Arabidopsis thaliana: one gene and its partner. The protein of the gene in region 1 binds, or shares a complex with, the protein of each later gene. Each region holds a gene or a part of one and is shown on either strand. Other genes may lie near its edges. The genes, in order: ACA8 and CAM7.

Evidence for each region.
Region 2: the proteins of ACA8 (region 1) and CAM7 are in contact, whole or in part, in a crystal structure (PDB 4AQR), measured with the Arabidopsis thaliana proteins. Residues at the interface, in NP_001331281.1 of Arabidopsis thaliana: Ser40, Arg43, Leu44, Gln45, Gln46, Trp47, Arg48, Lys49, Ala50, Ala51, Leu52, Val53, Leu54, Asn55, Ala56, Ser57, Arg58, Arg59, Phe60, Arg61, Tyr62, Thr63, Leu64, Lys67; in NP_189967.1 of Arabidopsis thaliana: Glu12, Phe13, Glu15, Ala16, Leu19, Phe20, Leu33, Val36, Met37, Leu40, Gln42, Glu48, Asp51, Met52, Glu55, Val56, Ile64, Phe69, Leu72, Met73, Ala74, Arg75, Met77, Lys78, Asp79, Thr80, Glu85, Glu88, Ala89, Val92.

What each region holds. Positions count from the first base shown.
Region 1 is NC_003076.8:23,114,440-23,119,277, forward strand, and holds the start of ACA8 (autoinhibited Ca2+ -ATPase), read right to left. Parts: upstream 3,248-4,838; 5' UTR 3,026-3,247; intron 2,965-3,025; exon of another isoform or gene 2,792-2,964; intron 2,476-2,791; 5' UTR 2,419-2,475; coding exon 2,275-2,418; intron 2,173-2,274; coding exon 2,056-2,172; intron 1,971-2,055; coding exon 1,934-1,970; intron 1,820-1,933; coding exon 1,704-1,819; intron 1,613-1,703; coding exon 1,481-1,612; intron 1,383-1,480; coding exon 1,293-1,382; intron 1,173-1,292; coding exon 1,103-1,172; intron 981-1,102; coding exon 910-980; intron 818-909; coding exon 734-817; intron 657-733; coding exon 579-656; intron 486-578; coding exon 411-485; intron 305-410; coding exon 221-304; intron 145-220; coding exon 62-144; intron 1-61. UniProt on the Arabidopsis thaliana protein: This magnesium-dependent enzyme catalyzes the hydrolysis of ATP coupled with the translocation of calcium from the cytosol out of the cell.
Region 2 is NC_003074.8:15,662,492-15,668,761, forward strand, and holds CAM7 (calmodulin 7), read right to left. Parts: upstream 3,979-6,270; 5' UTR 3,865-3,978; coding exon 3,789-3,864; exon of another isoform or gene 3,143-3,788; intron 2,990-3,142; exon of another isoform or gene 2,502-2,989; coding exon 2,132-2,501; coding exon of another isoform or gene 2,128-2,131; exon of another isoform or gene 1,641-2,127; intron 896-1,640; coding exon 697-895; 3' UTR 509-696; downstream 1-508. UniProt on the Arabidopsis thaliana protein: Calmodulin mediates the control of a large number of enzymes, ion channels and other proteins by Ca(2+). Among the enzymes to be stimulated by the calmodulin-Ca(2+) complex are a number of protein kinases and phosphatases. Activates MPK8 in vitro.

The DNA of each region.
Region 1 (4,838 bases):
CTGTCATGAACATGATTTGGCCGAGTTCCAAAATAATAACCAGCAAAGATAGCATTCATACCGAGTCAGAAGAATCACTAGCACAGCAGCAGCCACCGCTAAGCCAATTGAACCAATAAAAGTAGCTACCCCATTTAAGCGCACCTGGTTCAAGCAAGTCAAAGATTAGCTTGATTTGTAAACATTTAAAGATTCCTTAACAATGATCAAAGATATCAACCTGCAAGGGAGTTTCTTCACCATTGTCTTCAGAAATACTGGCCATCAGCAATCCCCATTCAGTGTTGACTCCAACACCAGTAACCTTGCAGAAAGAAAAGAACATACATATCACACAAATGGAAGAGATTAATAACTATCTCCCAAGAGATCAGTTCTGCTGAACAAGAAAAACTAGGAAGTCGTCCTACCAGCATAGAACCATTTCCATCTGCCACTTTACAGCCAGACATTAAGAATGGGTCCTTGTTAGCGTCTTTGTTAACCTGACAAGGAAAGGGAAATTGACACATAGAAAGTTATACCAAGAAGAAGCGAGAAAATCAACAATTTTACTATGACAGGAAACAAAAACACACAATTTTGCTCTCTCCAGTCATGCTAGATTCATCAAGGGCGAGAGAGTGGCCAGATATCAGTACTCCATCAGCAGGAACCTAGATATAAATTTAAACTTCGATTAGACAAGGTAATATGGACAAAAACAAAATTAAAAGGAGAATAAACCACTCACCTGATTGCCAATGTTGAGAGGAATGACATCACCCACCACTATGTCATAGATCGAAATCTCCACTCGTCTTCCACCTCTTAACACCTGTGCAGCAGTCAACAGAAAGAGTAGTGTAACTAAGAAGGAAATAAGAAAAAGAGAGTATGAGGAAAAGTATCATTGGGGAAAATTTATACCTCCAGATGTATGTTTCTCTTTTCATCATTCAAGTTTTGAAACTGGAGCGACTGTTTGTAGTCACTGACAGCTGCAGAGGAGAAGAAAGCATCAAAATCACAGTAAGAGTCATTATCAAAATTATTATATTAAGTGAAACAAGTCTGTAGACACCTAAAAAGAAAAAGAAAAAAGTGAAACAAGTTAAATTACCCGTCACAACAATCACAAGAATCACAGCAAATGCAATGCTTCCTCCATCATACCATCCTTCTTTGATACCCTGTCGATGATTGTTATCCAAGTTAGTAAAGATTGTGTAAGACCAAGGTTAATTTGGAGGTGACATTACTCTGGGGAAAGAGGGAAGAGCCAAATTTAGTTAATTGATTTCATCACAAACCTCTGTTTTTATCCCAAGTGCTAAAGACGCTACAGCAGCAACCATTAAAATGATCAAGGTGAGATCATGGCAAGCATCCCAAAGAAACCTCTGTAATGATTAACAAAAAACCAATACGCTTGATAAGAAAGTGAGCAGGGAAAACCTAACTTGTAGCATAGAGCTAATAATAAATATGCATTTCATACCAGAAACCCTTTCCCTTTCTTGCGAGGATATGTGTTTGATCCATAAATGGTCTTGCGCTTTAGCAAGTCATCATCATCGCCACTGATACCTTTCTCTGGATTTGTCTTGAGCAAATTGGCCAATCCTTGAGTCTGATGCAAGAAATACACGCATACCAATAAGATAATTAGAGAACGACTATAAGAAAACAGACATAAGCATGTTTCATGACTGAAAACTTACCCCTCCATATTGCTCCAGGGCACCACTGTTGTGATCCTTTGACATTATCACAAGCTGTTCAGGAGTAATTCCAAAATCACCAGCCGGAGTTGCAGGCCCAGTTGTTTTTTCAACTCCTGAAGTGAGAAAAAAAAAAGACCACATCAACAAGTTTATACAAAAAGACTTTCTTCTCCACATTCAGAACCAGATAATGCACAACACCAAAGTACACAGTTAGCCAAAATTACCTGACTCACGTCCCATATCCATAAAACGATTCGCCGCCTAATAAAGAAATAGAAGACGCTAATCAGTAATTTACACAATCTCATGATAAAGACATGATTAACCAGCTTCCAAATAAAGTTACCAAAAGAGCATGAGCATGACTTCTGATCTTCTGTCTCATTTCCCTCGTTTCTTGCTCCTTCTTCAAGTCCAAGGTGTACCGGAATCTCCGGGACGCATTGAGAACCAGTGCAGCTTTCTGTAATAAACACAATTCACTGTTAGCTCAAACACAGATAAACAAGCATTCTTATCTCACAATATGAAACAACATCAGACTTAAGAAGGATCTAGGTCTTACTCTCCACTGTTGAAGCCGCTCAATAGAAGCATTCTTCGATGGGATGTAGAAAGTGTCGCTATCAGAGTCTGCGTGTTCACTCTTCCCAGACTCCACATCGCCTCCACGGCGTCGTCCAGGCGATGACTTCAAGAGACTCGTCATCGTTGCAGTCGCAAGAGACAAGAAGAAAACCACTCAAATCCCTAAATCTCAAAACCACTGAGAAAAAATCAAAAGATAAGTAAGTTTGCAGTTTAAAGGTTGCTTCTGCTTTCGACAACCACGTGAAATATCAAGCAAGAAAAAAGCAATTTCTCCGGGATAAAAAAAAAGTAAGAAAAAAAAAAAAGATAAATATCTTCTTCGAAACAAAGTATCTTCTTCTCTCTGGGAAAAATCCAGAGTGCGACAAAACAGCCACAGATATTTTCTCAGATTTCTTCAAAAATCCTTGACATTAGCCTTAAATCACAACAATATCATGTAAAATCGGAAAAAAAAAAAAAAAAATCGATGAACGCGAAGTCACTCCTACCACGAGAAAAACGCTGTGAAACGGTTTACTCCAGTAGTAGTCAACAAAAATTCAAATTAGGTAAGACTAAAGAAGACGAAGAATAAGAACAACAGGAGACAAAGCGACCAACACTGCGAAATTTTAATTTAAACAAAACAGTAATTAAAATTTTTATTCGTAAGCTTTTCTCGAAATCCGAAACTCGTTTCGTAGTCGGTTGAAGAGAAAATCGAGACGAGAAACAAGTTCTACCTGGAGAGAAAATTCCGGTAAGTTCGCCGGAAAATGTGACTAGTCCTCGCCGGGAAACTAATAGAATGCTTTATCTCTCTAAAGTTTGGGATAAAACAGTAGTGAGCAAATATATAGATCTAGGGTTAATAGGTAAGTAAATAAAAGTTCTTGGGCCGGTTATGGGTAAATTTTTAATTGTTTGGAAACTAAACTACGTGGCACGCGCTAATTAAATGCTGGTGGCATCAAATTTCCTTTTTAGTTTTATTCTCATTAAAAAAATCTGTGGATTATTGTGTTAAAAAAAAAAAAAAAAAACTGTGGATTATTATTTTAAGTTAAATGGAATCTATCTAACCAAAAGAAAAAGAAAAAAAAACAGAAGTAAAGAAGGTTAGCAAAAGCTTTCCTTCATATTTTTTACCAATTTAAATCATGGTACTATTTAAATTATTTAATAACATTTAAGGAACTGAAATTTTATAAATATATGTGTCATATCATCTAATAATTAAGTAAAAATTATATTAAAAAAATGAAAATTGAAATATATCATAACATTGAATAAAAGTTTGGCTTACGTGTACAGTGGTGGAGTCACATTAAGTATTATGTATTATGTATTATTACGTTATTTCGCATGTTACTTGTATGGTCTCTTCTTTTACAATTATTTTGGAAATTTGCATTTACTAACAAATAGACAAAAAAAACATAAGTAAAAAAATTGCATATTCTGGTGTCTTAACCCACAAAATTATCTTCGACTATTTCAGAGTTCGAGCCCACATATTGAATTTTTACACACTGTAAAGAGTATTTTGAACTTTGGACTACTAGAGTATGGCATTGTTTACTTGTGAATACATGTTAGTTAGTATGTTTTCAACTTTTCATTATCGTATACTGTTAATAGAGCCTTGGTAGAAGTAATTAACTAACACCAACGCACGTTTTGTCTTTATGCACCGACTACTTCAATAGTATACAACAAACATTACGAATAATTCGTTTATAGTCACCATTCTGATTAATTGTTTTATAACTCTATCCACTAAAAATTGCCGAATCGATAAAAGGTAAATTGCGTTTCAAAAAAACGCGGAAACATGGAAAGTGAAACGGAACGTTCAAAAAACGTCGTGTTGAATGATGAAAAAATTGTTTGTATTTGGGAGACGTTAATAAGAAGCGATTCCTACTCAATATCATGTTCATTTCCACGTATGCAAAGCGAATAAACGATTCACAAAGAATATAATTCAACTAAAAATAAAATTTACTTTACTTAAAGAGGTTGTTGTAATTATATAGAAAAGATCATAATGGGGTCTCCTTTTTTAAATTACGCGTAGATGAGTCCCTGTAAAGCTTTTCGACACCACTAAGTATGAACACCTGTAAAGTGTAACAAAATAAATTAAGATTTGTGACGGAATATCTCAATTATTAGAATAATCGTCAGATATTATTATTAAATTTACAAACTATAATAATATGGGTGTGTGATAGATATACGTATAGTCCAGATGTACGGTATATATAACAAATATGTCGAATAAAAAAGTGGATTAGACAGGCGAGAAAATGCTACAAAAATAAATTAAATTAAGACAGCTAGGTTTCTTTTAAAATTAAACCGGTCCTTGCTCTTTTAGACTGTTTCAATTCACCTCAATTGAGGCTCCGTCATGCAATTTTGGGAAGCATAAGTCTTAATTGCCGAAGTCTTTTTATTATCAAGTGAGGTCAAGAAGACTTGAAAATCAATTCTAAAATTGATTGTTTCTTAATGTTTTATATTTTTCAAGTTTTTGGAAAGCAATTACAA
Region 2 (6,270 bases), on another chromosome or scaffold:
AATTTTTTTAACCTTTTTCTTTGAGTTTGTTTAGAAAACAGTACATTTCCGTAACTTAATTGGAGAAGTAGTACAATTACTATTTATAATTACTAAAATATTCGAAAAAGTTTTTGTTTGGTGAGAGAGAAAGAGAGGTGTAACAGATTTAAATAAAGAGAAAGAGAGCATTTGAGAGGGAGACGTGGGTCAAAAAAAATTTTCTAATTTTTTTTTCTTTTCTTTATTACATTTCATTCTCTCAAAGTTTAATAATTAAAATACTTGTTTGTAAATTTTATTTTTCTAAAATTGATCATAGAAAAAAAAATCTATGTTTATCGTTTAATTGTTAACATTTCGGCGGTTGGAGACACTACTGGTTTTGTTTATCGTTTATCGTTTACAAGATGAATATAAATCTATAAAACTGTTAAAATTCTAAATTCCTAGAGATAAACTTGGTAACTTAATTTTTTTTCTTAGGACTAAACTAAATGGTTTGAATCCAAGTACATAATTGTTAGTCCTCTACCAGCGGCTCGCATGGTAATCCACCAACCAATCTTTTCTTTATGCCATTACGTAGCCTATATACAAGGTTATTATTATGTTTTTTAAACAATCCCTCGATATATGCAAGTTATCTACTATTAGCTTTCACTATTCTTCGTCTTCATTGTTTTAAGTTAGTTCTTGATCAGCAAGTACAGTGAGCTATAGAATCGAGCAAGAATGAGAGCGGTGGCAGAGGAGATTCAAACGGCTAGGAACGCGATGTGACTCGGGCTGTGAGGGGTTATGCTGGATCAATTCTTTCTCATTCCTTTTAGCATTTTTGGTCTTCTTCTTTTTCTTTTTCTTCTTCTTCTTCTTCCTTTTCTTTATCAATTTACTTGCGCATTCCCAAACATGACTGAGAACAAGAAACAATAAAAACCGAGTAGTTGGTTCCTTCTTTCTTTGGGGTTTAGAAATGAAGAAGATAATAGAATTAACTGTAAAATGTCAATTCTTTTTTGTTTCTTAGTTCGTCACAAAAAAAAAAAAAAGAGAAGAGAGATATATGAACTGAATTGCATAAAAAGAGTCTTACATATTACTAAAGAAAACTTAATGAGCTTGAATGTTAAATTGACAATAACTAAATTAGAAAAACTCTATAAAAACAAACTTATAGTTTATACGGGCCGACCGGATCAGTCGATAAGATTTATTAAAAAAACAAAAAACAAACAAATTTATGGTTCTATTAGTATATAGTTGATACTAATACTAGAACTATGAGTCTATGACTAGTATAGTGGAAATTATAATAATTGTTATAAATATAACTTTAATGACTAACTTGTAAATACTAAAAGTTGATTTTGCATAAAATAAAATATAATTCAATTTTAATATAGAAAAAAATTAAACAATTGAGGAAAATTTATATCTATAATTAAATAAACATATAAAATAAAATTAAATAAAAAACATATAGAACAAACTATTATATACGTTTATGTGTATTATAAATCCAAATATCAAATTCAAATTAGAGCTAATGTTATAGTAAGAAAAATGTCTATACGTAGATAAATTAGTTTTTTTTCAAATATAATCTAGGGGAGAACCACACAAGATGGAGTAGTTTGACAGTACTATTACTCACAAGATAGGCCTTCATCAGCTAATAAACCCTCACAACCTTAACAGCCTTATCAACCATACCATTGGGCCTTAAGTGGGTATTTGAAATAGAAAATGTTTGATCCCAAGAACTTTTACTACTACTTTGTTCTTGCAAAGACACTAAATTTTAAACAATTACAGTGCACGTTTTTGCAACTAGTAAGCAATTATTTCTCCACGTAATGGATATAATTAGTCGATCTCAATAAACTGCAATATTTTAGAGAAAAGAGAAAATAACATCATCAAGTGGTCATGACTCGAGAGACTAAAGCAAATTATGAGTTCAAACGTCACGGACAATAACAAAACCAAAAGGCAAAGAAGAAGCAACGTTACCAAAAAATCACGATCAACAAAACAAACAAGGAAGCAAATCTCTCTGTTTCTTTTGGTTCAATAAATTACTTTTCTCAGTTTTAAAGATGTAAAAGAAAAACATGCTTAGGATTTCGAGGGATAAGAAGAATCTCACTTTGCCATCATGACTTTGACGAACTCTTCATAGTTGATCTGACCATCACCATCGACGTCAGCCTCTCGGATCATCTCATCGACTTCCTCATCCGTCAACTTCTCCCCAAGATTTGTCATCACGTGACGAAGCTCAGCCGCCGAGATGAAACCGTTCTGGTCCTTGTCAAAAACCCTGAAGGCTTCCTTAAGCTCTTCCTCTGAATCAGTGTCTTTCATCTTACGTGCCATTAGGTTCAGGAACTCTGGGAAATCTATTGTCCCGTTCCCGTCTGCATCCACTTCGTTGATCATGTCCTGGAGCTCGGCTTCTGTCGGGTTCTGCCCAAGTGATCTCATCACAGTCCCAAGCTCCTTTGTGGTGATACAACCTGCAATCAAACCAAAATTGGACACAACTTCAGATTTTGTAACGCAAGAGTTCCGAGTATAACTTTATGAACACTAATATTGTCAACAAGATCAGGAAGATATATAAACCAATTATCTTAAACACAAGTAATATGTCAAGTTTTCAAATGCAAGAAAGCTCAAAAATGCTCTTAGTAAAATATCCTTACACTACTAACCCCAATCATAGTATATCTCATTTAAAAGGACGACGATTCGACAAGTAAAACTGATTGTTCGGAAATCATCTACCAAGTTAACAAAGAAACTTCTTGCACACAAACCACCAAGCAACATTTAAAGCCTCTTTCTAATCAAAGGCCAGGAAATGCACAATGTTCTAAATATGATGGTATTCTCTTAGTAATCAAAGGCCAGGAAATGCACAATGTTCTAAATATGATGTTATTCTCTTAGTAATCAAAGGCCAGGAAATGCACCTATTCTCACAAGAAAGCTCAAAAATGCTCTTAGTAAAATACTCTTAAACCCCAATCATAGTATACGACAAGTAAAACTGATTGTTCGGGAAACATCTACCAAGTTAACAAAGAAACTTTTTGCACACAAACCACCAAGCAACATTTAAAGCCTCTTTCTAATCAAAGGCCAGGAAATGCACAATGTTCTAAATATGATGGTATTGCCAATAAGCATCACAAAATGCACACCGTTGCAAGTTCTCAACTATTGTAAAGAAGAACAACAGAGATGATATTATCAACTTCTTTCTCTATTTTTCTATTTGGCAACATCACACAATAAACCAAATTTCGTTTTTTAGATTTTGAGTATAAACATCTGCAGATAAATCTACATGTTACAATTGAATCTTAAAACCACAATGCCACTAAATTTTGTGAGAACGTACAAATCCGCATGATTATAATCACAGGATTTGTTCAGAATCATAGTAAATCACAGAGAAACAACTAGATTCCAATGTACGATTCCAATGTAGGATCTAGAATATGATGAATAACCTAATTAAACAAGATTCCATAACTACAAATCTTAGTAATCATCAACGAATATACTAAAGGAGATTCTACATATTCTAGATCCTTCTATAGAAGCAAAAATCAACCCTAAACACTCTGGAGATGTGAGCAAGACTGAACGAATCAAAACGAGATCGTTCTTCAAATCACATGAAACAATAAACGAAATGTGCAGAGATTCACGATCACCGCGAAGAAATCTAAAAAAAAAACGACAAGAGAAAGAGATCTGAGAGAAGAAGAAGAAGAAGAAGAAGAAGAAGAGACCATCTCCGTCTTTGTCGAATAGGCTAAAAGCTTCCTTGAACTCGGAGATCTGGTCATCGGTTAGCTGATCCGCCATTTTTTTTGTCTTCTTCGGATTTTCTCGAGAAAATTTTTGCTGTGATATTTTCTTGTTTCTGGAGAAAGTTGAAGCGCGTGAGAGTGAATGTTCCTTCTCCTTTATAAAATGAGATCTCACCAGCTACAGGTAAAATGAGGTATTTTTGAATTGACGATTTTGCCCTCCTAAACGTCTTTCTCTTTTAATTTCTCAGACCAAAAAATTAAGAAATTCTAGTTTTGGGAGAAATTTGTTTTTTAGGTTTGCAACTTAGTTTTTACTATTTTAGGCTAATCTACTAACTACTTATGTCCAGATCATGAACTTTCTGCTAATAGTTTTGAATTTGATATTTTTGTATTATTGTTATGGTATCTTGGTATGATATATATTGATGTAACCTGATATTATACATTGATATCCAAACATTGGTGTAGGCAATTTGATAAAATTCATTTTCTATTTGCTAAGTTTATTTTAGGGTAATATTAGATAACCAAATAAAACATACAAATTAAGAAACTAGTAGAGAGAAAGTTTTTTGTTACAAAATAACCATGGACCCATGTTGTCGGAAGAAATGAAATAACAAAGCTACCTTTCATTTGTTGTAAGATGAACTGTAAACGAAACACATTCGTGTAATTTTTCAAAATAACATGTAACATTAAAATTTCACATGTTATATTTAGTTTTAAAACATGCTATTTAAAAAAACGTCATGAATTTTTAAGAAAAAACATTATTATGAAATTTTCTTACATGAACATAATCCTTAAAAAAAATTTATATGTGATTTTAATAAAACCGTGTATTACTAAAAAATAAGAATATATTTTTAAAGAAATCACGTGTGATCTTAATAAAAAATGTGTATTACTACAAAATATCATGATAAAAAGAGATATTAAACTGAATAGAATGTTTTTTCCATAAAATACCATGTGCTTTTTATAAATACTATGTAATAAGAGAAAATAACAAGATAAAAAGAGATATTATGTTATCGCATGTATTTCGGAAAAAAAACATGTTACAAAGGATATTTATGTAATTACATGTGTTCTCCAATATGTTTCCGACAAGCTACTGTGACTCAAGGTTAGTTTGTACATTCTTTTCAAATCTATAATCATTTATTATAAATTCTCTTTATTTTATCACATTTCAAAATTATAACACAAGAAAGAAAATGGTTAGACAATAAATATTAGTAGACGATTGAGAATGATTTTACGGTTTTTCCGTAATTTAGTAGAAAATTTTTGTAGAAAAATTTCCCGCCAATTGCGTTGATTTTACGATTTTTAAAAAATTTATATAATTGTCATCAATTATTTTTATAGTTTACAATTATTATTAAGTAGCACTATACCACAAAATATTTTTTGATTTTATATAATCTTTTCTAATCAGACTGATTTGATAAGTGGTGCTAAAAATAATAAATTAAAGATTTAACCCGTATTCCAAAAAATAAAAAAATTCTAGTTTTGTGACAAATTTGTTTTTTAGGTTTGTAACTTAATTTTTACTAACTTAGGCTAATCTACTAACTACTTATGTCCAGATCATGAATTTTCTGCTAATAGTAAAGCAAAAATCAGATTTTCATATTGAATTTGATATTTCTGTATTATTGTTATGGTATCTTGATATTTCATATTGAATTTGATACATTGATGTAACCTGATATTCTATATTGATGTCCAAACGTTGGTCTAGGCGATTTTAACGTTAGTATATATTAAGGTTTACAACTTGTATCTATTTAAAGAAAAATTATATTTTATAGTTTATAATTGTTATTAAGTAACGGTATAACACGAATTCACAAGACAATTGTTAATAAACAGTGCAGTTATATGTTTCCCTTTGTATTCTGACTTCTTATTGTTGGAGGCTTCTCTGACTTTTTTTTATGTTTGTGATGGTAGCTCTTTTTGAATAGGTATGTGTGAAATGCGAGAAATGCAGAGGAATTTTGACTTGCCGGATATATAGCTTTGATCTATTGTTTGTTCCCGTTATTGTTTTGATGGTAGATTATTGCGTTGAGGTTAAGGTGTTTGCTTTTTCTTAGTATTATATCATAGAGCTTCTTTTTGGTATGGATCATTCTGTTCTTTTTGTTATGATTGACTTCCCTTCGTTATAGGTATGTTGAAGGTATAAAGGGTTTTTTAGTCGAAGGATGGCTTTGATCTATCCTTATTATTGTCTAACGATTTCATGTGAATCAATTTGTTCTTTCTTAATGGGTGGATAATTTATAACGCTGGATAAATAAAAATCACCAAAGATCATACATTTCTGGCCATAATGACCTTATGGTGGTTCCAGAAGGATGAAAAAGAAATTTAATTTTAGCTTGTTTAAGTATACAAAGTAACATGACTTGTAAAAGCTTTTAGTCAATTAACC